Lonchura striata: one gene and its partners. The protein of the gene in region 3 binds, or shares a complex with, the protein of the main gene of each other region. Links are inferred from orthologs where the notes say so. Each region holds a gene or a part of one and is shown on either strand. Other genes may lie near its edges.

Evidence for each region.
Region 1: the proteins of MAD2L1 (region 3) and MAD1L1 are in contact, whole or in part, in a crystal structure (PDB 1GO4), measured with the Homo sapiens proteins. The link is inferred for Lonchura striata from reciprocal best matches to the Homo sapiens genes MAD2L1 and MAD1L1. Residues at the interface, in NP_002349.1 of Homo sapiens: Tyr38, Leu61, Tyr64, Asn67, Val68, Trp75, Gln82, Lys83, Ser89, Ile91, Glu92, Ser93, Gly94, Arg99, Gln101, Ser150, Phe151, Asp152, Leu153, Leu154, Ile155, Tyr156, Thr157, Asp158, Lys159, Asp160, Leu161, Val163, Lys166, Trp167; in NP_001013858.1 of Homo sapiens: Glu527, Arg528, Ala530, Leu531, Gln532, Gly533, Asp534, Tyr535, Gln537, Ser538, Arg539, Thr540, Lys541, Val542, Leu543, His544, Met545, Ser546, Leu547, Asn548, Pro549, Thr550, Ala553, Arg554, Leu557.
Region 2: the proteins of MAD2L1 (region 3) and MAD2L1BP are in contact, whole or in part, in a crystal structure (PDB 2QYF), measured with the Homo sapiens proteins. The link is inferred for Lonchura striata from reciprocal best matches to the Homo sapiens genes MAD2L1 and MAD2L1BP. Residues at the interface, in NP_002349.1 of Homo sapiens: Tyr33, Arg45, Thr52, Leu54, Lys122, Asp126, Glu127, Arg129, Ser130, Arg133, Gln134, Thr136, Ala137, Thr138, Thr140, Phe141, Leu142, Leu144, Glu179, Val181, Arg182, Leu183, Arg184, Tyr199, Asp205; in NP_055443.1 of Homo sapiens: Pro61, His79, Tyr82, Gln83, Gln85, Pro88, Leu89, Pro90, Gln93, His96, Ala185, Leu187, Arg188, Phe191, Arg192, Phe195, Asp198, Ala199, Phe200, Ser201, Glu202, Leu203, Gln204, Ala205.

The regions. Positions count from the first base shown.
Region 1 is NC_134618.1:13,418,098-13,425,510, forward strand, and holds the start of MAD1L1 (mitotic spindle assembly checkpoint protein MAD1), read right to left. Parts: upstream 3,045-7,413; 5' UTR 3,016-3,044; intron 2,954-3,015; exon of another isoform or gene 2,695-2,953; intron 2,421-2,694; exon of another isoform or gene 2,394-2,420; intron 1,892-2,393; 5' UTR 1,888-1,891; coding exon 1,738-1,887; intron 521-1,737; coding exon 380-520; intron 1-379. Other genes in the region: MRM2 (rRNA methyltransferase 2, mitochondrial), read right to left, coding at 4,065-4,489, 5,187-5,437, 6,096-6,133; NUDT1 (oxidized purine nucleoside triphosphate hydrolase), read left to right, coding at 6,720-6,871. UniProt on the Homo sapiens protein: Component of the spindle-assembly checkpoint that prevents the onset of anaphase until all chromosomes are properly aligned at the metaphase plate.
Region 2 is NC_134605.1:36,067,350-36,073,219, forward strand, and holds MAD2L1BP (MAD2L1-binding protein), read left to right. Parts: upstream 1-3,959; coding exon 3,960-4,145; intron 4,146-4,756; coding exon 4,757-5,287; 3' UTR 5,288-5,300; downstream 5,301-5,870. Other genes in the region: GTPBP2 (GTP-binding protein 2), read right to left, coding at 391-417, 2,570-2,752. UniProt on the Homo sapiens protein: May function to silence the spindle checkpoint and allow mitosis to proceed through anaphase by binding MAD2L1 after it has become dissociated from the MAD2L1-CDC20 complex.
Region 3 is NC_134606.1:70,014,604-70,022,198, forward strand, and holds MAD2L1 (mitotic spindle assembly checkpoint protein MAD2A), read left to right. Parts: upstream 1-4,681; 5' UTR 4,682-4,726; coding exon 4,727-4,808; intron 4,809-4,984; coding exon 4,985-5,131; intron 5,132-5,214; coding exon 5,215-5,335; intron 5,336-5,631; coding exon 5,632-5,735; intron 5,736-6,213; coding exon 6,214-6,386; 3' UTR 6,387-7,035; downstream 7,036-7,595. UniProt on the Homo sapiens protein: Component of the spindle-assembly checkpoint that prevents the onset of anaphase until all chromosomes are properly aligned at the metaphase plate.

The DNA of each region.
Region 1 (7,413 bases), on a different chromosome or scaffold from region 3:
CGAGGATTCAAGACCACACTCTTGCGCACATTAGCAAGTTAGTGCAGTGCACTGAGAGCGGACCTGCAGAGCAGTTCTGTAGATGCATTGGTGCTGGCAACTTGACAGCCACGCCCGCAGTAAATGCAAACACAATAAATGCATTCCAGAGTCACTGAAGTCCTGCTCTGAAGACAGTGTCCATTAGCAGTTGGAGAACACCAGGCTTGCTCCTGGAATGCACCTTTCAGCTTGGTTTCACTCCAAAGAGTAACTATACACATTCTGAGACAGACACTGCACACCAAAGCACATCCCTGACCCAAATCATTGATGTAAATGCTCTCCATGTGTTCTGGCTTAGGCCATGCTCCCAAGCCATGAGCAGACATCCACTCACCTCATAGTTCCTGGCATTGGTATTAGCTGCCTTCTCCAGCTCGATGCGAGCTCGTTTGTGGCTCAGCTCCATCTGCATCTTCTCCCGTTCCACCTGCAGCAGCTGGGATTTGGAGTGGATCTGCCCAGCCTGTTCCTCCAGCTGGCCAGTTCATGTGTGAGAAGGGACATTGCACACCATTAACAGCACAACAGTATCATGGTGCCCTGTACTGCTCGCTGACACTAACTTGCCATTTTACAAACTATCACCACATTTGTGGCACTTCTCACACCAGCTGTAGATGGGGAAACAAAGAGTTCAACACCATGCTCAGAGACCCACACCAAATCAAGGTGAATTGGAAAGAAACTAATTCCTGGTTCCTAAATCAGAATTGCTCAATCTCTAGATGTAGTCTGACAAAATCTACTTTATCTAAAAAGCTAATTATGAATTCTCCAAGCCTAAGAAGCACAGATCATGCTCCAAATAAAACTAACTGCTGAGCAAAATAACACATTTTTCCACAACCTCTACAACGTTCCACTTCATTTTTTCAGTCAAATTACCTGAGAGCACAGACAATACTATAAGAACTACTCACATCCTGATGATGTACATCCAACACACAGCAGATGGAGACTAACCAGAAAGCCTCCTGCAACTACTGCTGCCACCAGAGATGTAGCACAGACAGAAGCTTAAACTTTTGTCAACGTTCCAAATGCAAAGCAGATTTACATTAAAAAGAAGCAAACATTTTTTTACTTGGAGACTGAAATAGAAATTATATTAAGATACAGAATAGAGATACTTCCTTGCAGCCTAATAAACAGTTCCTGGGATCTAAGATTGTCAATTTACTTTATGCTTTATGAGCCTGAAGCAGCTAACAGCAAAAAAAAAAGTAAATAACTCAGGTGGATAAGAAAGCACAACTGGTTTGCATATCAAAGCCACAGCTCAATGCAAGTCTCCTGTATGTGTCCAGGCAAAGAAGCCTTTAAATCCTGAAAAAAGGTAACAAAGTGTCTTACCAGAAAAAATGTTAAAGTATAAAGCTCCTTTGTTCAGCATTATGAAAACAACTCATAATTTAATTTCCTGAGCTGCTATACAGATATAACTAGCAGGGAATAAATTCAAAGAACCTTTCTTAAACTTTTATAAAACAGAAATAAAACTGACACTGTAAAAAAATTAAATATATTCTAAAAATATTCCAGAACGGTGGCAGCAAGCTTCCTTTATTTGTTTGTGTCAGTTTCAGAATGAACGGTCAGAACTGAATGAAATTCCCAGCTCCTAGAATCAAAAGGAGCACATGGCCACACTGAAGTGGTGCTGCAGGAATCACCAAGATGAGGACTCCTCACCTGCATCCTCTGCTGGTACTGCATCTGTAAGGAGCTTTGACTAGATCCAGGTGTAGCCAGCCCAGACACTCCCTCCATTCGCTGTGAAATGAAGTTGTTGAGGGATCTCAGGGTGGAGAAGACAGTGGTATTATTTTCCAAGTCCTCCATGGCTCTGGAAATAGACAGAAAATCATCAGCAAAACACTCAGAGCAAGATGCTCTGCTAAAGAGGGATCCATCACTGCCCTGAGGAAAGACTAAACACGAGGTCTTCCCATTTACAGGGTAAGAATCAATCTGCAATCTGCACTGCTGGGATCCACAGAAAACATGATCCAGGCTGACATTGTAATTTCCTCTGAAATGAGAAAAAGATGCAAGACAGCATCTTCTTCTCTGACCAAACCAAACTCATTTTTCTTCCCCCTAATTTTTGAATCTGATGGGAGAAGAACTAACTCCACAGTAGCAGCAAACCCTTCCTGCTACACAACTTGTCTCTGGTTTCCCAGAAGCACTTTGGACTCTAATTTCCAACAAGTCTTCCCAAATCCACTGATCACTTGTATAAGTGAAACTGCATCGAATTATTTATATAATGAGATACAGCTTTTCCTCCCAATTTAGAAGCGTACTAACTAAAAGGCCAAAGAGAAATCAAGCATGGTGCTCACTCAGGAAAGGCTCCAAGGTTCCCCAGATTTCAGGAAACCTCAGGTGAGTCCCTCCAGTGACTGCACGCTCCATAAATCCCCAGGAACACCGGAAAAGGTCCAGGACCAGGAAGGGCAGCCACAACATCCCCATGGATGCAGCACAGACAGAGACCTGGGGCTGCCTCGGGGCTCCTGCACTCCCGGGGTTACACAGCAGTTACTGTTTGTATTTACAGCATCACGAGCAGGAAGCATAAGAGCGGCGCAGAACCAACAGATCTGCCAAAACCCAAACCGAGCTCTGGAGAACTAAACGCACCTGCCGGCAGGCAGCTCCAGCAAGCCCGTTCCCAAACCTCCCAGCGATTACGACGACACTTCGGTGTGTGTGACCCGGTCCGCTCCAGAAACCCGTCAGGGTACGCAGGGACCCGCGGCGGGCAGCGAGCACCGGGAGCGGCCGCGGCGGGCACGGGGCAGCTCCGGGCACCGAGGGGCTCGCCGGCACGACTCCCCTGGGGGAGAGCGGGGCGGGACGGGCGCGGCCGGAGCCTCCTTCCCTCCGTTTCCCCCGTCCGCGCCCCTTCCCCGTGCCTCCCTCAGCGCTCGCCGCGCGCCCCGCTTGGATCTCCCTCCTCACCCCGGCCACGGCGTCTCGCGGGAACTCCGCGCCCGCCTCTCGCGAGAGCGGCGGCGCCGTGGGCCGTAAGGGCGGCATTATGCGCGCAGCCCTCCGCGCGCTACCGTAATGCCCCGATAAGAGGCGGTGAAGCTTAGAGCTCGGGCCGCACCCCCAAAAAGCGCCCCGCGCCCTCCTGCTCCGGCAGGGATCCAGCCAGCAGCCCCAAGGTGGTGATGAGAAAGGCCTGGAGTCTTCAAAACAGCCTCTCATATAACTCATGCCACGGTCAGCCCGATAAAAGCAGCGTTTAATATGAAATTTGTCGCTTTCAGATAAGGCAGCAGCTGAATTTATTTGTGCAAGCAGATTTCTGGCAATTCAGTCATTCTCCCTACTGGGATCTTAGGAATATCTTGTCTTTTCGCCTGAGAAACACCACTGGCCACACCTAGAAAGCACTGGGGAGATGAGCTGCGTGGCCATGACCCTGTCCCACTGGCACTGACGGGATTTAGGAGTGCCAGGAGGCAGCAACTCCTAAATATAACCTGTACTGTGGGAGAGGCAGCAGAGCCATGGGGCTGAACATTCCCAAGTCAGCCGTGCCTCTCACATGGTTGTGCTACACACCATGCATGACAGATCCTGATGTGCACAGACACATTTTCTATTTTTTACCTGTGACCTGCTAATAAATCACACCAGCTTCTGAAAGGCACTGAATTGGCTCAAACTCCCCTTTGCTCATGTTCTCCTCACGTTCTAACGATCACCTTTATGGTCAGTCTCATGTCTGGCAGCATTAACAGTGCAATGATTTTCAGGCACACATTAAAAACTCGTATAATCAGCATTTTATTTTAATTTCCATTACTCCATTCCCAGAGCTTGCCTTTCAGATTATTCCTCTCCATTCCCAACCATTTTGTCTGCAAGTATTTGAAAAGCCTGATGGACTTAAAGAAGAGCAACAAATTTTCCCAAGGTCTTAATGGTGGGATTTTCCTTTCAACACCCACTAAATTGAGATTTCCAATCCATGTCAGAGAATCTGCAGCTCATGACTTTCATTTCCCTCTGTACAGCCTTGCCAAGTAATAAGATTCCGCAGAGTCCTTCCGGCTGGCCTGAGGCTTTATAGTTCTCACATCCTGGAACTGCTCCTTCAGTCTGTTTTGCAGCAGACGGGCCTCGGATCCATCCCAGAATTTACAGAGCATCGTTCCTTTTGGCTTTAAAATGCTTTGGGACATATCCAGAAGGCCTAAACACAGACTGATCAGCTTCTGATGATCCAGCTCTTTGATGCCCGTGGCGTTGGGTGCCATGTCACTCAGGATGACATCTGCCTTCCCCAAGGGAAGCAGGCTCTGGATGGCCCTCAGCGTGCTGGGCTCTGCCATGTCAGTCTCTGACAGGAAAACCGCTCCTTCCAGGGGAGAAATCCTCAGCAGGTCAACACCAAGCACGAAGCCAGTGGGGACAGCAGCATCTGTAAGGAGGAATGACACAGGGAACACTCAGAGAGGCTGCAAAAAACTGCACATGCACGAGCTCTGTGTCTGTCAGTAGACAAAACCCACCACCTGCCACAGCTGCCTTCTCCTCCCCTGGCAGTTTGCTGGATTTGCTATAATCTCATCCATTCAAGACACAAAAACTCAGCTACTTTGGATAAACAAGGAGGCTTCTTTTTGGTTTTCTGCTGCTCTTATAAGGCTGACAGTCCAGAAATCCTGGATAATGCTGCAGATAACACCTCACTTTGTAAACATCAATGGCTTCACCCATATAAACCATGCAAAGAAGTTGCTTCCATTTTTTGAGAAGGGAAACAATATTTTAAATAAGCCAAGGTAATTGCTAGAAGTCACACCTATTTCAGAACTGGATGAAGGGATCTTCCCGACAACAGCTAATCAGCTAATCAGATCACTAGCACCACATGGTATGTTTTATTTCATAAACACAATTTTTCTATATGAAGAATTACTAGGCTCACCCTTTCATATTTTTATCAGTGACTCTGGCACTTGCCAGTACCCATGTCCCCTCCCCACATTGTTACCATCATAATATTTCCTTGATTTCATAGTATTTCAATTTACATTCCATAGTATTTCACAGATCTGTCACACTCATCAAGAGGAGTATCACCCCCATCTTGCCTGCCAAAAAATTGCACTTACCAGTACCTAAGGCATTGACCCTCTGTACAGCAACCTGGCTCCAAGCACCAGGTGCTGCTCCACAGTCAAGAACAGAAAATCCTGGACGAAGAACACGGAGCTTGTCATCAGTTTCCAGCAACTTGAAGGCACTCCGGCATCGGTAATGCTGTTGCTTCGATGCCTTGACAAAGGGATCCTTCAAGTGCCGCTCCAACCACCTCTGCTCAGCTCCAGTTTTCCTCAGAAACTTCACTGTGGTGTGCAGGCACCTGCTCATGCAAAGCCAGGAAGAGAGGCAAGTTAGTAAATAACCACTCTGTGTTTCAGAAGTCTCTACAGTAATTAATTCCAGCCACTACAGGCAGCCAGGGAGGGTGTGGAGTCTCACTGTAGGGAGATTCTCACTACAGCTGGACACGTTCCTATGTCACCTGCTCCAGGTGACCCTGCCTTGGAAGGGTTATTTGGCTAGATGGTCTCCAGAGGTCCCTTCCAACCCAAACCATTCCCTGATTCTAAAAAGAAGCCCCTAAATTTGAGATTTTTGGCACCTTTACTTATCAGGTCCTATCACAACAGCAGGGTCAGATTTTGGATGAGGCCTCACGTGTTATCCTGAGCTAAGGGGGGAAAGAGATCCCACTCCAGCTTCTGCTCAGGTGTTTTACGGACACGACATGGCAGAGTGAGCCCAGCACTCCTGAGCTGCCTCAGCGGGGCCGCTGCCCCCCGCGACCGCTCAGAGGATCGGAGGGACGCCCGAGCTCCTGCCAGCTCCCGCCAGAGCAACCAACAGCCACGGGAACCGCCGGGCGGCATAACCCTAAAACCCCAAACACCCATTAACCCATTCCCGAGTGAAGCTCCGGCACGAACGACACGCCACCATCCCCTGCGTGGGGTCGCCTCAGCGACCCCGCCGCGCACCTGCCCCCGGCAATGGCGGCGCCGCCCGCGGCCGCCATGGCCGCCGCGGCCCGCCCCGTCCCGCCTCCCCTCACGGCGGCCGCGGGCGGGGCGGCGGCGGCGCGGGAAGGGCCGCGGCTGAGGGGGACACCGCGGCGGGCGGGAAACCGCGGCTGTGGGGCTGAGGTGCGCGCGGGGTCGGGGTCGATGATGTGGGGAAGGGGAGCTGCGAGTTAAGGATTCAGGGAGGGAGGTTAGGAGCAGCAAGGATTTAGAATTTGGGGAGGGGTTTCTAGGGGCGCAGGGATTAGGGGAAGGGGTGTTGAGGGTGGTCGGAGAATAATCTGGGGGGACAGGGGTTTGCGGAGGGGGTCGAAGATTGGGAGAAGGGGTGCTGGGAGAGGAGGGTGTTAAAGGTGGTCAGGATTCCCGGGGGTGTGGGGAAACAAGGATTTGGGAAGGGGGGGTCGAACTTTGGGAAGGCGGTGCTGAGGTAGCAGGAAAGCGAGGTCAGTGGGAGCGATAGAGGGACCGGGCACTGGGGCGGGGTGCTGGGCGTGAGGGGCTCTGTGCGCCCCCGGCTCCCTCCGAAGGGGGCCGGGAGCTCTTGGCACAGCGCGCCGCCTCGTCCCTCTCCCAGGAGCCATGCACACGTCCAGACTCTTCACCCTAGTCCTGGTGGTGCAGCCGTCCCGCGTCCTCCTGGGCATGAAGAAGCGCGGGTTCGGCGCCGGGCTGTGGAATGGCTTCGGGGGGAAGGTGCAGCCCGGGGAGAGCATCGAGGAGGCTGCCCGCAGGTGAGGGCTGGGTCCGCGCCATGGGGACAGGCATGGAGGCACAGGTGAGGTGTTGGACCATCGGCAGTGGGCTGCAGGTGGAGGTACCACGGCTTGTCTGGTCAGTGACACCCTCGTGTTACCCACCAGTGCAGTCATGACCCACCTCTGAACACCTGCTCCACAGATAATGAAGGATCATCCACATGTACAGAGAAACAGGATTACTTGCCCTTTGTCATCTGCAAATCTTAAACTCGTCCAGTCTCTGAGCAATTGGAACATCCTATATCCTCTGTCCCATCTCCTGGACTCTGATTTAAACTGAGAATGAGTCTGAGTGGTGGGTGGAGGTTCTTGCACTCTTCAGAGAGGTGCAGGGCTTAATTTTGGCTATATAGGAGAATTACAACTTATTTAATTTAAATTATTAACCAAACTGCTTATTATTTGATTGTATGGTGACATTTTTAAGTGCTAATGCTGAGTTGTGGAATTTAATCAGTAAAAAGGCACTGTGTAATTTCTGAACCCTTTAGTACTGATTTCTTGTAGTTCTTTCA
Region 2 (5,870 bases), on a different chromosome or scaffold from region 3:
TTGTACCCTGGCTGCTGCAGGATTAAAGACAGCACTCTGGGACCAATCTGTGATCCAGGAGCCAATAAGTGCAAATGACAGAGCAGCCACAAGAAAGTGGCAAATAATTTTCAGCAATATCTGCATCTCTCTCTCAAGAAAAATACAGTAGGCATCACATGCTAGAAGAGATTCCTAAAAATCAGTACTGAGATCCAGCTTTACCAGCTCAGCAGACTGGTTAAAGCTTGGCACAGAGACACAAAAGATGAATGGTAGTTCCTTAGTGCAGTGTCCACTCTTCCATCCTTTCCTTGGCCATGTTACCCATAGGCTGTCTTTGGTGAAGTTAATCACTGCAAAATAACCCTCTGGCAGGAAGACCTCCTTCTGCAACCTCAAAAGACTCACCTTGTACTCGATGTTCCCATCTTCTGCCTGGTCAGAGAATGAAACAAGACAGAAGAGTTAGATGCTGTGCCCACAGGGACTTCTACAGGCACCAGCTGCCCATATATTCTGAAGCTGGTGCTGAAGATTTCAAAGAGAGGGAAAGTGGCAGAAAATGACTGTGTTAATCCCAGCTTTCTGCCATTCTTTCCAACACTCAACTAGAACTTTCCAAATGATTTGTTTGTGCTGTTTGTATCCCATATCATGAACACCAAAGGACAAAACTAGAGTGGGGTACAAGGGTAGTACTGTCCAGGGGGGAAATTTTTTTCTAAACAGTAAAGAATAGGGCCAGCCTAACAGTCAGAGAGAAAGTTCCAGTTTCAAAAAGGTACAGGCCAGCATATGACTTACAGTGTCACCCCTCACCCATCTGTGACCCACAAAATGCCACCCACAGCATCCCACTCCCACCCTATCCAGCAGCTTCCATCCATCCAATGTGCACAGAAAAAGGGCCTGAGAACAAAAGCTTCTGCTTCCTCTCCTGCTCAATGATACTCTCCCTCACTCAATTAATTTTTTCATTGACTCCCTTCTACATCCTTATGTATCTTCTCTCTACAAGGAAGGACTACAGACATAAAGAAGCATGGTAATGACTCATTTGCTAGCTAGTCACTGGCCAAAGTTCTGGAGAGCCAGACCTGATTGGGACTGTCTGTACCCAATATGTTCAGAAGTACTTTCTCAGGGAAGGCTAGATGGGGTTGTAACAGAAAGGTCTGGGTACTCATCAAACTCAATTCAACCAAAACAGGCTCCAGCTTACCAAAGAGAATTGTATCTAATTTTAAAATTAGATATACAATATTTAAGTATTTTTTTCCCAGTGATTCACTATAAGGACCAATAAGAAAGGGCTGGAGCCTGTAGGAAGCCATATACTCTGTCAGACTAAATGGGGCTGGCAACAGTAGGCACTTCCTTTTCCTCTGGACACCTATTTGCATGTCAGGAGAGGCAACAGCCCTATCCTTGCCTTCCAGCTCAGCTCTTAACCACAGTGGCACTTACAGTGGCAAAAGGCCAACAGAAGTTCTCAATTGTCAGCTCAGTTCTCTGGCTGCAGAGCTATGCCATGAGAAAAAGGTACTTGTAGCAGGTTTTCCCTTCTTGCCATCTACCAGTTCTAAGCAAAACCCATTCACCTACTGCACTGTCGTCTAAATAAGGGAGTGGGTCTTCTCCAAGGCTCTTGAGACTAGAAAAGCAACGAGCCTAGACTTGCTGGGGCACACACTGCACAGGGTAGCCAGAAACAGGAAGCTGAGTTGAAACCACAAGAGACTCTCCAGCCTCCAGCTGAAAGGAACAACTGCGGCTGCAGGGCACAGTCCTGCCCGTGGAGAAGATCTAACACTAGCAAAGTACTGTTTTCACATCTTCCCAAGAGTACCAGGTCTGTCTTGTGGAGGAATTGCTTGCTCCCAGCACAGGCTATTATATATTTTACAGAAAGTTCACTGACAGGGGCCGAGCAATGGAGTCTGAACCAATGTAATTCCCCCCACAGTGACAGTTCTATGAAAGCGGTGACAACTGCCCCAGCTGAGCACACATCCACGCTACTACCAATGCCACTTCTTCCTGCTGCAAGAGACAAGTGCCCTACCCCCTGTCCATACCATCTGCAGCCCTGTGCAAGGAAACAGCTGTCAAATTAGCTGGGGAGTCACCTGTAAAGGGGCTCAGACCCAGCAGAGCAGATCGCCTCTCGGGGAGAGATGCAAATGAGATGCTTGGAAGTACGAGGCGAGCAAAGCTTTATTTTCGAAGCTTTTCGATGGGAGGCGGCAAAGCGCCCGCAGACAGACGCCAAGCAGTGCGATACCACTCACGGGCAGGGTCCGGCGGACCCCGCAGGGAGCTCGCTGGCACCGGGTGCGCGAGCACGGCCCGGAGGAGAGCCCGGGCAGGCGGGCACACGGCTCCCGGGGCCGTGCGGCTGCTGTCAGCCCGACCCCGGCACAGGCCCGCACCAGCACCGCCGGCACCTCCAGCCAGACCCAGCCAGCGGGGTCCGGCCGAGGTACCGACCCGCTCTGGGGGGCACCGGCCCTCCGGCCCCTCCCGCCCCCGGGCCTGGTCTCGCTCCCTCCGCGGCTGACGGGACGCGGCGGCCGCCGGAGCTCACCTCGGGCGGCAGGAACGGGGGGTTGTTGGCCTTCCCTCCGCGGCTCCGCCCGTTCTTCTTCTTCGTCTTCGAGCCGCCGCCGCCGCCAGGCGCAGCCCCCCCGCGCCCGCGCAGCGTAGCACCTGCCCCGCCGCCCGCCGGCCGACAGCAGCCCCCGAACAGCTCTGACACCCGGGAGTCCATGGTGGACACCGCGGCCCCGCCGCCCCGCTGCAGCGTCCGCTCCGCTCCCCGCCCAGCCCCGCCGGCCCGGCTCCGGCCCCGGCGTCACAGACAGCCGCGCGGCGCCCCGGGAAAGCGAGTCCCGCCCGCCTACGACGCCAAGAACGCGCTGCGCGCCTCCTGCTCAAAACTACATCTCCCGGCGTGCCCCGCGGCGCGACTTGCTCGGTCCCGTATGGGTTCTACCTGCGGGGGCTGATGGGAGCTGGAGTCCAACGGAGAGGGCGCCGCCTGTCGGCCCCGGTCGACAACGTGCGGGATACCGCCGCTCCCCGGGCCCCGCTGCCGGGATCTGCGGACGCCCGTGGGTTATCCATTTGTCAGTTCACAGCCCCGGGTTCCCTAGTTATTGATATCGAACGATCAGTCATTCTGGATTCAGTAAACTTAGGCACTTTCGAAGCTGTTTGGCCTTGGAGGTATCTCATGACTACGCAGAGGCAGCAGCCCGACACAGAGCGATCCCAAAGCCCACGTTAAGATCCAACGCGGAGGGCGGCCGGAACAGCAAAAGAACCTGTAGCTGTGCGCCGCATCCCCTCACTAAGTGTATTCCCAATCTCCAGTTCCACGGCCACTGCGCCTTCTCTTTCCTCGCCGCATGCCCTGGGGAGAGCGACCCTGGATCACTGTCGGTGTAGAACTGACACAGGTGGCCGCGGTTCCTGTAAAGCAGTCTCAGAAAAGCTCCTCTCACCATCCCGCCCTCCACTCGCCATGCGCTGGAGGCGGCACCCAATGGGGCGGCGGGCACAATGTTTCCAAACACGGCACTCCCTGCAAGCTCCCCGCCTCCGCCACCCCGCGGCACCGCGAAGGCGGCTCTTCCGCAAGACAGCGGAGCCGCCAGAGCTGCCGGGAGCGGGGCTGAGGAGAGCGGAGCCGCCTCCTGCGGATAGCCTTGAAAGAAGCACAGCCCAGGTCCCGGCACGGCCTCAACCGAGGGGCCCCGGGCCGGGATCGGGTTGGGAACGGAGGGGCGGGGCTACGCGGAGACCTCCGCCCCTGCCACGCCCGCCAAACTTGGTGGCGTCGCCGCCAGAGGGCGCGCGGTGCGGTCCGTGCGCCCTTCCCGTGAGGCTCGGCGGCGGCGGCATTCAAACGCGGCGGCCGTTGGGGCGCTCGCTCGCTCCGCGCTCCCGGGCTGGCGGGCCTGGGCCGCGGCGCGATGGGGCCCCAGGGGGACGCCTCGGTGCCGGGCGGCCCCGCCGTGGCCGTGGCCTTCCCGGGAGCTGTGTGCCGGGGCAGCGGCTGCCGCTTCGCCTGCGAGCTCCTGAAGCACGTCCTGCACCAGCGGAACCAGCTCCCGCTGCCCTACGAGCAGCTCGCCTTCTTCTGCCGGCGGGCGGCCCAGGTGAGGGGCGGCGACCGCGGGTCAACCCCGGGCCGGGGGACTGGGTGGGCCGCGGCGTTTGGATTTTGCTTGCGAGCTTCTGTTCTCGCTCGGGGACTCGTACAGCAACGTGTCGGTGCCTTTAAAGTAAAGCGCTTGTTGTGGCTGCATCCCTAAATGCCTTTGCCTCTTCTTTTCAAAACGAGGCAAAGGCAGCGTTAAGTTCAGGCTGCTGAAGGTGCCGACAAATTGCTCTCAGTTGATTGTTTCATACTTTCCGCTCAAAGCGTGTCACTGCCTTGTTTGTTACCTCTAAGCAAAAAACCAAACAAAAATACTATTAAATGTTTTCAGAGAGATGGCTGATCTTTGAAAGATGGGCTTCTAATTCCTATTGGAATTAATTAGTAGGGCGATTCAGATTCCAGCTGAGTAGCTATGGATTGTGCTTTCGTGTTCCTCTTGCCATTTCGTGATGCGGAGAGATGTGCATCCTCCCCATGTGGGTACCTGTAGCTCTCAAAATGAACACAAGCTGCTTGTTCCTTGACTCTCTGGGATGGGCCATGCTTTCTGCAGCATATAATACATGTTCATAACTAACTGTGTTAATATGAGTTTTTGTCTTCCAGGATGGAGTTGGAATTGGGAAACCACATTCCCTGGGCCTGGCAAGCAGAAAGTGCCAGCAGCTGCTGATGGAGCTGGAGGGATTGTTCCAGCACCTGGAAGTCATGTTTAGTCTGACGCTAGTTCCTCGGGTTCTTTTCCTACTTGGAGGCAATGTCATCAACCCCAAGGAGCTCTATGAGCTGAATTTGGAAGGGTTCTGTGAGGGCTCTGCTGAAGAGAGCCTTGAGACTGCGCCCTGTGTTCGCCAGCTCTTTCACCGCCTGTTTGTTGCTGACGTCTTTAGTGAACTTAAGGCTCTCCCTGTCACAGTCACTCTTGTCCTGGTCCAGGGCCACCGTGACTGTGGTGTTGAGTGGTTCCGGCCCAAGCTCAACTACCAAGTGCCGACCCGAGGGAGGAAGCTGACTGTTAAGTTGTCCTGTGATGGAGACCTCCATGTTAGTGCCTCACCTCCACAGCACACAGTACCTGCTTGGGAGGACTACGTCTGGTTCCAAGCACCAGTGACCCTCAAAGGCTTTAGTGAATGAATGGTTTCTGTAGAAATTTAATTGGAAATATTTAATTGGAATACTGATTACCTTTTTTCTTTAGGTGTTAATTTTAGCAAATGTAACCATGTATTTTTGAACCATGTCTGTCTGAATTTTTTTGTCTTCATGGTGTCTACTGCCTTCCTGTATCTTGCTGCGCTCTTCTATTGTCCATATTTCCTGAGCTGTTGAAGGCAAATCCTCTTTAAGGAACAGTTGCACACAGGTCCAGCGATTCTTTAGGGACCTGATCTGTGACATGGGATGAATTAATGTGTTGGGAGTAAAACTTCCATGCTGTATGCTTGCTGAACTGGTAAAGGCTGGATATGTACAATCTCCTCCTGAGTTTTAATATGGCTATTTTCTGACACTGCCTCTGTCATGTTACACATAGGCTCTCTTAGGTGAAGTTACAAAATAACTATCTGGAAGGAAAACCTGTAGTCCTTGAAAGGCTCCCTATAGCAGGAAAACCAGCAGGCAAAACTGGAGCGGGACACAGAGGTAAAATTGTTGCGGAAGAGAGATTTATTTCCAGCTGGTAAAGAATGGGGCAGGATGAAAGCTGCCAGGGCTG
Region 3 (7,595 bases):
CAGGTATGGGATGGAGAAGAAGTGCTCAGGGTACAGTGGCCTGAGCATGCCTCATAAAGTATTTCAACTCTTTTCACTATTATAATTCATTGGTGACAAATTGTTCTTTTTTTTTTTTTTAGAATGGCATGCATAAATTTCTCAAAACATATGGAAACAGAACTTTTTCTTGAAATAAATCATCTTAATTGAATAATTCTTCATACCACATAGGAATAAATATCTTTAGAAAATCATTTTTTGCCATTTTCTGTCCAATACTTTGGAGAAAGTTGTTGTCAGTAATGATTATCATTCTGCCAACAGGACACCTAACTTGCCTGGAGATTTAACTGTAGGAAAACAAATATATATAAAGGATCTAATTTTCAAGTGGAAATAAAGGAAATATTCATATTTTTTGCCTCAAATGTTTCTAATGCCAATGACATGCTTTTCACAATGTATTTCCCTCTTCAGTCATCCCAATTCTCAGCCACTATGTAAGCTGCACTGTATTTCTTGCTGCACAATCAACTGAACAAGCCCATCATGATTATACATCAGAAGAAACACAATTAGAAAGCAATCATAAAGCAACAATTCCCATCTAACATGTTGCAACCACACAACAGAATCCTATCAAAATTCCATATGGTACTACCAAGCCGTATTTACTGTGCTACCAATCTTCTGGATCCTTTTCTCCTCATTTTCTGATGATCCACCAAAAGTCTCTGTTGACAAACCTATAAATGATAAATCAATGTTCCAGGGTACTTAAGAAGGCTCATTTTGAATTTAAAATTTAATAATACTGGCTCAGTAAATTTAAGCTACCTGAGAACTCCCTAGTTTTCTATTGATCTATTAATATGAAAACTTCAGATGTGACAGGAGCTAAACTGAATTGGATTAACATTCACCTTTCAAACTATAAACCTTCAGGTTGGGGATTAAGTAATGAAGGGGATTAAGCTGTAAAGAGCAGGATTCATTGGATTTCACATAGCATGTTACCAGTGTAATAGGACATCATCCAGCACTAAGAAGTTCTCAAGGCACAAAAAAACTCAGTAAAGTCCTGTTCTTCCCAATTCTGAAACCAGATTCTTATCCTCACATGAAATGTTTAAAGATAATAATTCCTTTGTTAAATTGTCTCTAATGCGACAGAAACCAAAGATAAACAACAAAACTGGGCATTAAGTATCCCCTTCATTCTGGGAAAAATATTTTAAATCTAGAAAAAGGTGTAAAACTAGTAAAGAACCTAACAGTGAAACTAACGGTGAAATCAACTCGCAGTACTCGAACCAAAACTGAAGGGGCGCAGATAACGCGTGTGCCTGCTGCCATCTCCTGGTAGAAAAATGTCAGGTCTCCGAAGGAAAACCTTCCCCAAAAACGGAAAAAGAACTTTATGTTCTACAGAAAATGCTTTCAAAACTCTCAAAATTTACAAGATTTTATTTCACTGTACAAGGCAGCCACTACCTGGACATAGCTCCTTACAAGCTAAATGGAGTTCTAACACTGGCTTAAGCAGAGAAACACCAAAGCTCTGTGATTTTTATAAAGGAAATAAGTACTCACCCGACTTACTCTAATTTAAAAATACATTCAGAAAATTAACTGTAGAAATTTACACACGGCATTCAAAATCAAAGGAAGTCGCTTTGGGAAGCCTGATCATCTTATTACAAGTTCTAGTGCAGATTATTGGCCCATACTGACTCATTTTAGTATCCATTTCTTTTCATGAATACTTGAAGTTCAAGACAATCTTTCACTGTTGTGCTACCCTCATTGCCTTTGATGAATTGCACAGAATTGATATTTGTAATAATATTCCATGTTTTATGTTCTAAAAATAGGATTAGCAAACTTGAAAAGAAATTTTATTTTGACAGCTGACAGAAGGCACCTGTACTTACCCTGCAAAATTTAGTGCCACAAAGACTGTTTTAACTTGCATTTCATAGGCTATTTTGCTGTTCTGGAGAGAAGAGACTTGTCCACATCCTCCCAAAGGTCAAAAGATAAACAAATAATGGGAATAAACTTTACAAGTGGATTATGTCTCCTAGGGTGCTGAATGACTGTGGGAATGTGACCTGGCGTGCCTTAGAAAAAATGATGGCATACTAGTGATTTGGATTGCCCATGGTTCACTGACAATTGCCATGGGGAAATAATCACTGAATGTTGCAGAAAAGCCAAGCTAAATGTGGAACATTTCCCTTCACAGAATGAGAATCCAAAAAATTGTGTTGCAACATCAAGCTGTAACTGAGAAACTGAACAATGACTGAAGAGTTGTAAGAGATCTAAATTAAATCCAACTGGGATTTCACATTCCTTATGAAAATGGAGGTTTTATCATGAGATGATTAAAGCAAGGATAGCCAACTCCTGGTGTGCCAGAATGTACAACTTAGCCTGTCATCCTGGTTCGTGAGAGTCCCTTGGAGCTGGTCAGGAAACAGCCTGTCACAAATCAGCCACTCGCCCTCAGCAGGATCCCTGGCAGAGCTGCAGAGCCCTCCTCCTGCTGGGCATTCCCAGCCACAAACTGCAGGCACTGTCTATGGAGCGTGGTCAGGAACATGAGGAAGGACTTGTGTGCATGTCCCCATCACACCTGGCCCGGCCATGGTCAGATGCCAGCTGCAGCTTACTTACAGCACAGAAGAAACAACACATTTCCAAAGGTTGTGCAAATTGCACCAAATGCAAAGGTGTTGGGGATTTGTTGTGGAGGAGAAGGGAGCACATCAGGGCAGAAACTGGTGCTAATCACAGCACAGAACCAGGGAGAGAAACGACCCAAAACTCTGAAATGCCAGGTGCAGGAAGCTCAGAGTTCCAACAGAGGTCACCAACCACTCTCAATGTCTGCCAGGTGAACCTTGTCAAAAGTAACGAGGAAGAAAATAAGTCTGACACTGATAAGCATATGCACCTGTGTGCGTGCAAACTATCCAAACTGAAACACAGACATTAACTTGGTAAACCAAGAAACACCTTGATTCCTTTCTTCTGTCTGATTTCAACAGGAAGACAGCTAGAGGAGAAATGTGTTAAATATTAATCAAAAGCTCTGCTATTCTTGCCTGGTCTCACGCTTTCAAGTTATTCTGTTTATCACAAAAATGAGCAACTCTTCCAAAACAAAATGGACAAGAAGCCAAGTGTAGGAAAAACCCCAGAGGACTGAGACCATTTGGGGATGGATAAATAAGAGCACCACAGTACATAAGGTTTTAAGCAAAACAGCTAATATTCACAGCAATTGAACTTCTAAAAGTTAGGCTTTGGATGAAAAATGCTTCCATTATTACAACCTTGGAAATATACCACTCTTACTCAGAAAATACTTTATTCAGAAGACTTATGTATAACACAATCACTAGTGAACAAGATCCAGAATAAATCTCCCCTGGTTAAATTAAATTATTCAGACCCTTTCAGAACTTCAGCACATGACTTCAGGACAATACCATTTGTTTTAATCACAGCAGCCTGAATCCTGAGAAAAACCATATTTCCTCTTGGATCAACACAGGAACCAAGAGAAAGCCTAAGCTTTTGTGGAAAAGTATTTTATTACAATAAATAAGCAATCACACCATCAATTCACTCTCTTAGCATCTGGCCCACTGTACTGTGTAATGATTACATGGTTTTTATTCTCAGTATAAATATTTGTGTTTTGAATACAACTTCATTTTAAGACTGATCAATTTGTTTCTTTTAAGGGTGATATGGTTATCTAACACAAGTATATCTTAGATGATAATATCAGATGATGCTTTGGAAAAATCACATTCAAGTTATAATTAATTTCATTTGCAGCTCTGCTCCATCCATAAATCCATAAATTTTCATTTTCTTGCTTACAATTGATTTTATAATCTAATTAGCTGGTGACCTTGTTACTATCCCGACAGACCATAACTTCCCCTCCTCATATTATTAACATACTTCAACATTTCCTTGTTTTTCTCAGTCTCTCTTACCTGTTAACCTCTGCCACAGCTTCCTCCAGGTGACGGACACTGCTGGTTGCAACATCTTCCTTGGTGTCCCTGTATTAACAGGACTAAAGATGTTTGACCAAGTAGCAAATTCCCTTCACCAAGGCAGCCCAACAACCCTAATGGTTCTCAACCCTTTATTATTTTTATTATTACTTCTGGAGTTGTTATGGATTGAATTAAATATTGTTTATCCACGTTCTCCCCACCTGCCTCTTCACACGTGGGGGGTGCTTGCAGAATAGTATTTTTGATTTCAAACAGCTACTGCATGACTTACACCATGAAAGCCACCAGTAAATCGTAAATGAAGTATTTGTTGAATTCATACCTGGAAAGTACCATTTTTAGGTTAGTACGGTCGAATACACCTCGGCAGAGTGAAACGCAACTTCCCACAGCATTCCCAAAGCAGAGCTCCTCACTCGCTCCACGCCCGCCCCGCGCTCCCCTCAGCCCCGCCCACAGACGCGCCAGCACCGGGAGCGGCCGGGCAGTTTAACAGGGAGGGAAAGAGCCCTTCCTCTCCCGGCAGGCTGCAGCCCGGTTTCCACGGCTAAGGGGCGCGGGGAATCGCCATTCCCGGAGGGAAAGCCGCCGCGGCAGCCTGAGGCGGCGCGCGCCCCCCTCCCGCGGCCGCGCGCGCGGGAAGGGGCGGGCCCGGGGGCGGGGCCGGATTCGAACCGGGCGGCGGGGAAGCGGCGGCCATGGCGGCGCAGCAGCAGCTCGGCCGGGAGCACCAGGGCATCACCCTGCGCGGCAGCGCGGAGCTCGTCGCCGAGTTCTTCTGTGAGGGGGCCGCGGGGCACCTCGGGGACCGCGCTGCGAGAGAGGGAGGGAGAGAATGGGGGTGGGAGGGGAGGGGGTGGGAGGCCGCGGCTGGTGGGGCGACATGGCCGCCGGCTGGGGCGTGGGGGGGGGTGGCTTGGTACACATCCCTTTCCCTCTCCGCCTAAATCGTGCAGCCTATGGAATCAACAGCATCCTGTACCAGCGGGGCATCTACCCCCCCGAGACCTTCACCCGCGTGCAGAAGTACGGGCTCACGCTGCTGGTCACCACGGACGCCGAGCTGGCCAACTACCTCAACAACGTGACCGAGCAGATGAAAGGTGCGGGCCGGCGGCGGGGCGCTCCCTGCGGTGTCCCTGCCGCTGCTTCTCGCGCTCTGAGCGACTGCCCCGGCTTCTTGCAGAGTGGCTGTACAAGTGCACCGTGCAGCGCCTGGTGGTGGTCATCTCCAGCATCGAGAGCAGCGAGGTCCTGGAGCGGTGGCAGTTTGACATCGAGTGTGACAAAACTGCAAAGGATGACAAGTGAGTTCCACGGTCCCTCCACTCCTGCGCTTCCCTATCCTGAGTACCTGGGCAGATCAATGCCACGGACTTGTTCCTTCAAAGCTTTCTCAGTGCCCTGCCCTCTGTTTGTCTGCAAAACAATAGAGGGAGAGCAGCTATCACTTAACTTTTCTAAGGACTTAAAAGTGTCACTACTACTCTAAAAATACTCTAGCAAACAGACTACCAGAGCTTAACAAAGATAACTATATTTAGAGGAAACTGTCAGTGCAGTAGTAGTTTCTTCTCTTACCAGAATTTTCTTATTTTTCCAGTGGACCACGGGAGAAATCTCAGAAGGCAATTCAGGATGAAATTCGCTCTGTCATCAGACAAATAACTGCCACAGTAACCTTCCTGCCACTCTTGGAATCTGCCTGTGAGTATTCCAAAGTGCACTAAAGAAATAAAATACTTTTGAAAAACCTCAGTAACTTTCCAACTTCGGAAAATATTTTTCTGAGGCTTTTTAATGATTACCCATTGTGCACCGTCAGGTTTGTGAGACAGCATGAGATCAAGACAGAACTTGGTGTGGCTTAACGAACTTGAGGAAATTAATGTGTTTGCCCTGAGGAATGCAAGTTTTCATGAATAATTTGCTCCTATGAAATGTTATACAGAGCTCATCTCCACAGCATTGTAACATGCTTTAAAAAAAATTACAACACAATTTAGTTATTGAGAAAACTAAAAGGATGTCACATTAATGTAACTTTTGGGTTGGTTTTTTTTTTTTCACATAACTAGTATCAGTGTAACTTCTGAAAACCTTGATCCTTGTCTCTAAGTCTAGAAGCTGCACTTCAAAGCTGCCACCATGTCCTTATGGTGAATTTGTTTTCCCTTGCTCCCAGGTGCCTTTGACTTGCTGATCTACACGGATAAAGATTTGGCAGTGCCAGAAAAGTGGGAAGAGTCAGGACCGCAGTTCATAGCCAATTCAGAAGAGGTTCGGCTACGTTCCTTCACTACCACAATCCACAAGGTCAACACTACAGTGGCTTACAAGAAGGATTCTGTTCCCTAAGATGCTGGGGCAAGTTTTGTGTGTGTAAATATCCTGTCACCTTGTATAGTTTCTGTTCATCATGCAGCTAAGCTATGAGCACATCATTACTGTCCTCTTGATAAAAGTATGACAAAAAGACAACGTGCATGTCTGTGATACTGTGACACTAGACTAACCTGGCATTTTTAAAGAGATTTAAAAAAGGTACTTATGGTCATAGTTCAATTCTTACTTTACTGTATGTAAAATAAGCTAAACTAATGGTGTGTTAAACCACTGCCTCTGCTAGAAAAACTGCCTAAATCTAGGATTAGTTGCTAGAGTTGTATTATTCTTAAACTGCATTCTGTTAGCAGTCTTAAATTCTCTGTAGCAACTAAAATAATCTCATTCCTAGTGTGCCAGTTTTCATGTTAGAAGCCTGGGCTGTTTTATTACCAGAAATAACCCTAAAACAAATCAACCAAACAATTCTTGTACCACTCTACAATGGTAGCAGCTGTTTTATCAGGAAAACTTTAAACACATGAAGCCTTCTATTTTAATGACCACTGGGCTCTGGTTCTGGGGACACAGTTGTTCTGTGTACGTCTGTAGTGTCTGTCCAGCGTTTTCTATGTTTCTATTCTTGGTTACAGAATAAAGCTTCGGGTTTTATGTTCTCTAATTGAGAGTCTACAGTTCTTGGTACTTCAGATGGTTCCATGAATGCTACATTCTAGTTTATAACTGTCACACAAGCAACACCCAAGACATCCTCCTTGTTACTTAACTGTTTCCTTCCTGAGTCTCCATGTGGTGTGGACTCTGTATGAAATCCATTAATGGATTAACACTTTGCTCCCACCTAAGTTTTCAAGCAACAGTTTAAACAGTCACAGTGAACTAATGACACTGCCTTCCATATTTGTTAAACAGCACTGGACTCTTTCATGTGTTCTTACCATTTCTGTAGTGGAAGAAATTAGGGATTTAAATCTCTGGAACTTTCAGACTTACATGGTTTTGTTCACTTCCTTCACTAAATTCATTCCAGCCAGAGTGTTTAACTGGTTTTTCCACTCTTTTACAGTGATGCAGAACTTTCTGTTATAATAATATAATTTCAGAATTTTATTTAAAAAACACAGATTACATATACCCTATCCCAGGACTGTATTTCTTGCATTTTCTTATTTCCAGGAAATACTTCTCCCCAGCAGTCCCAATACAGCAAAAGAAAAAAAA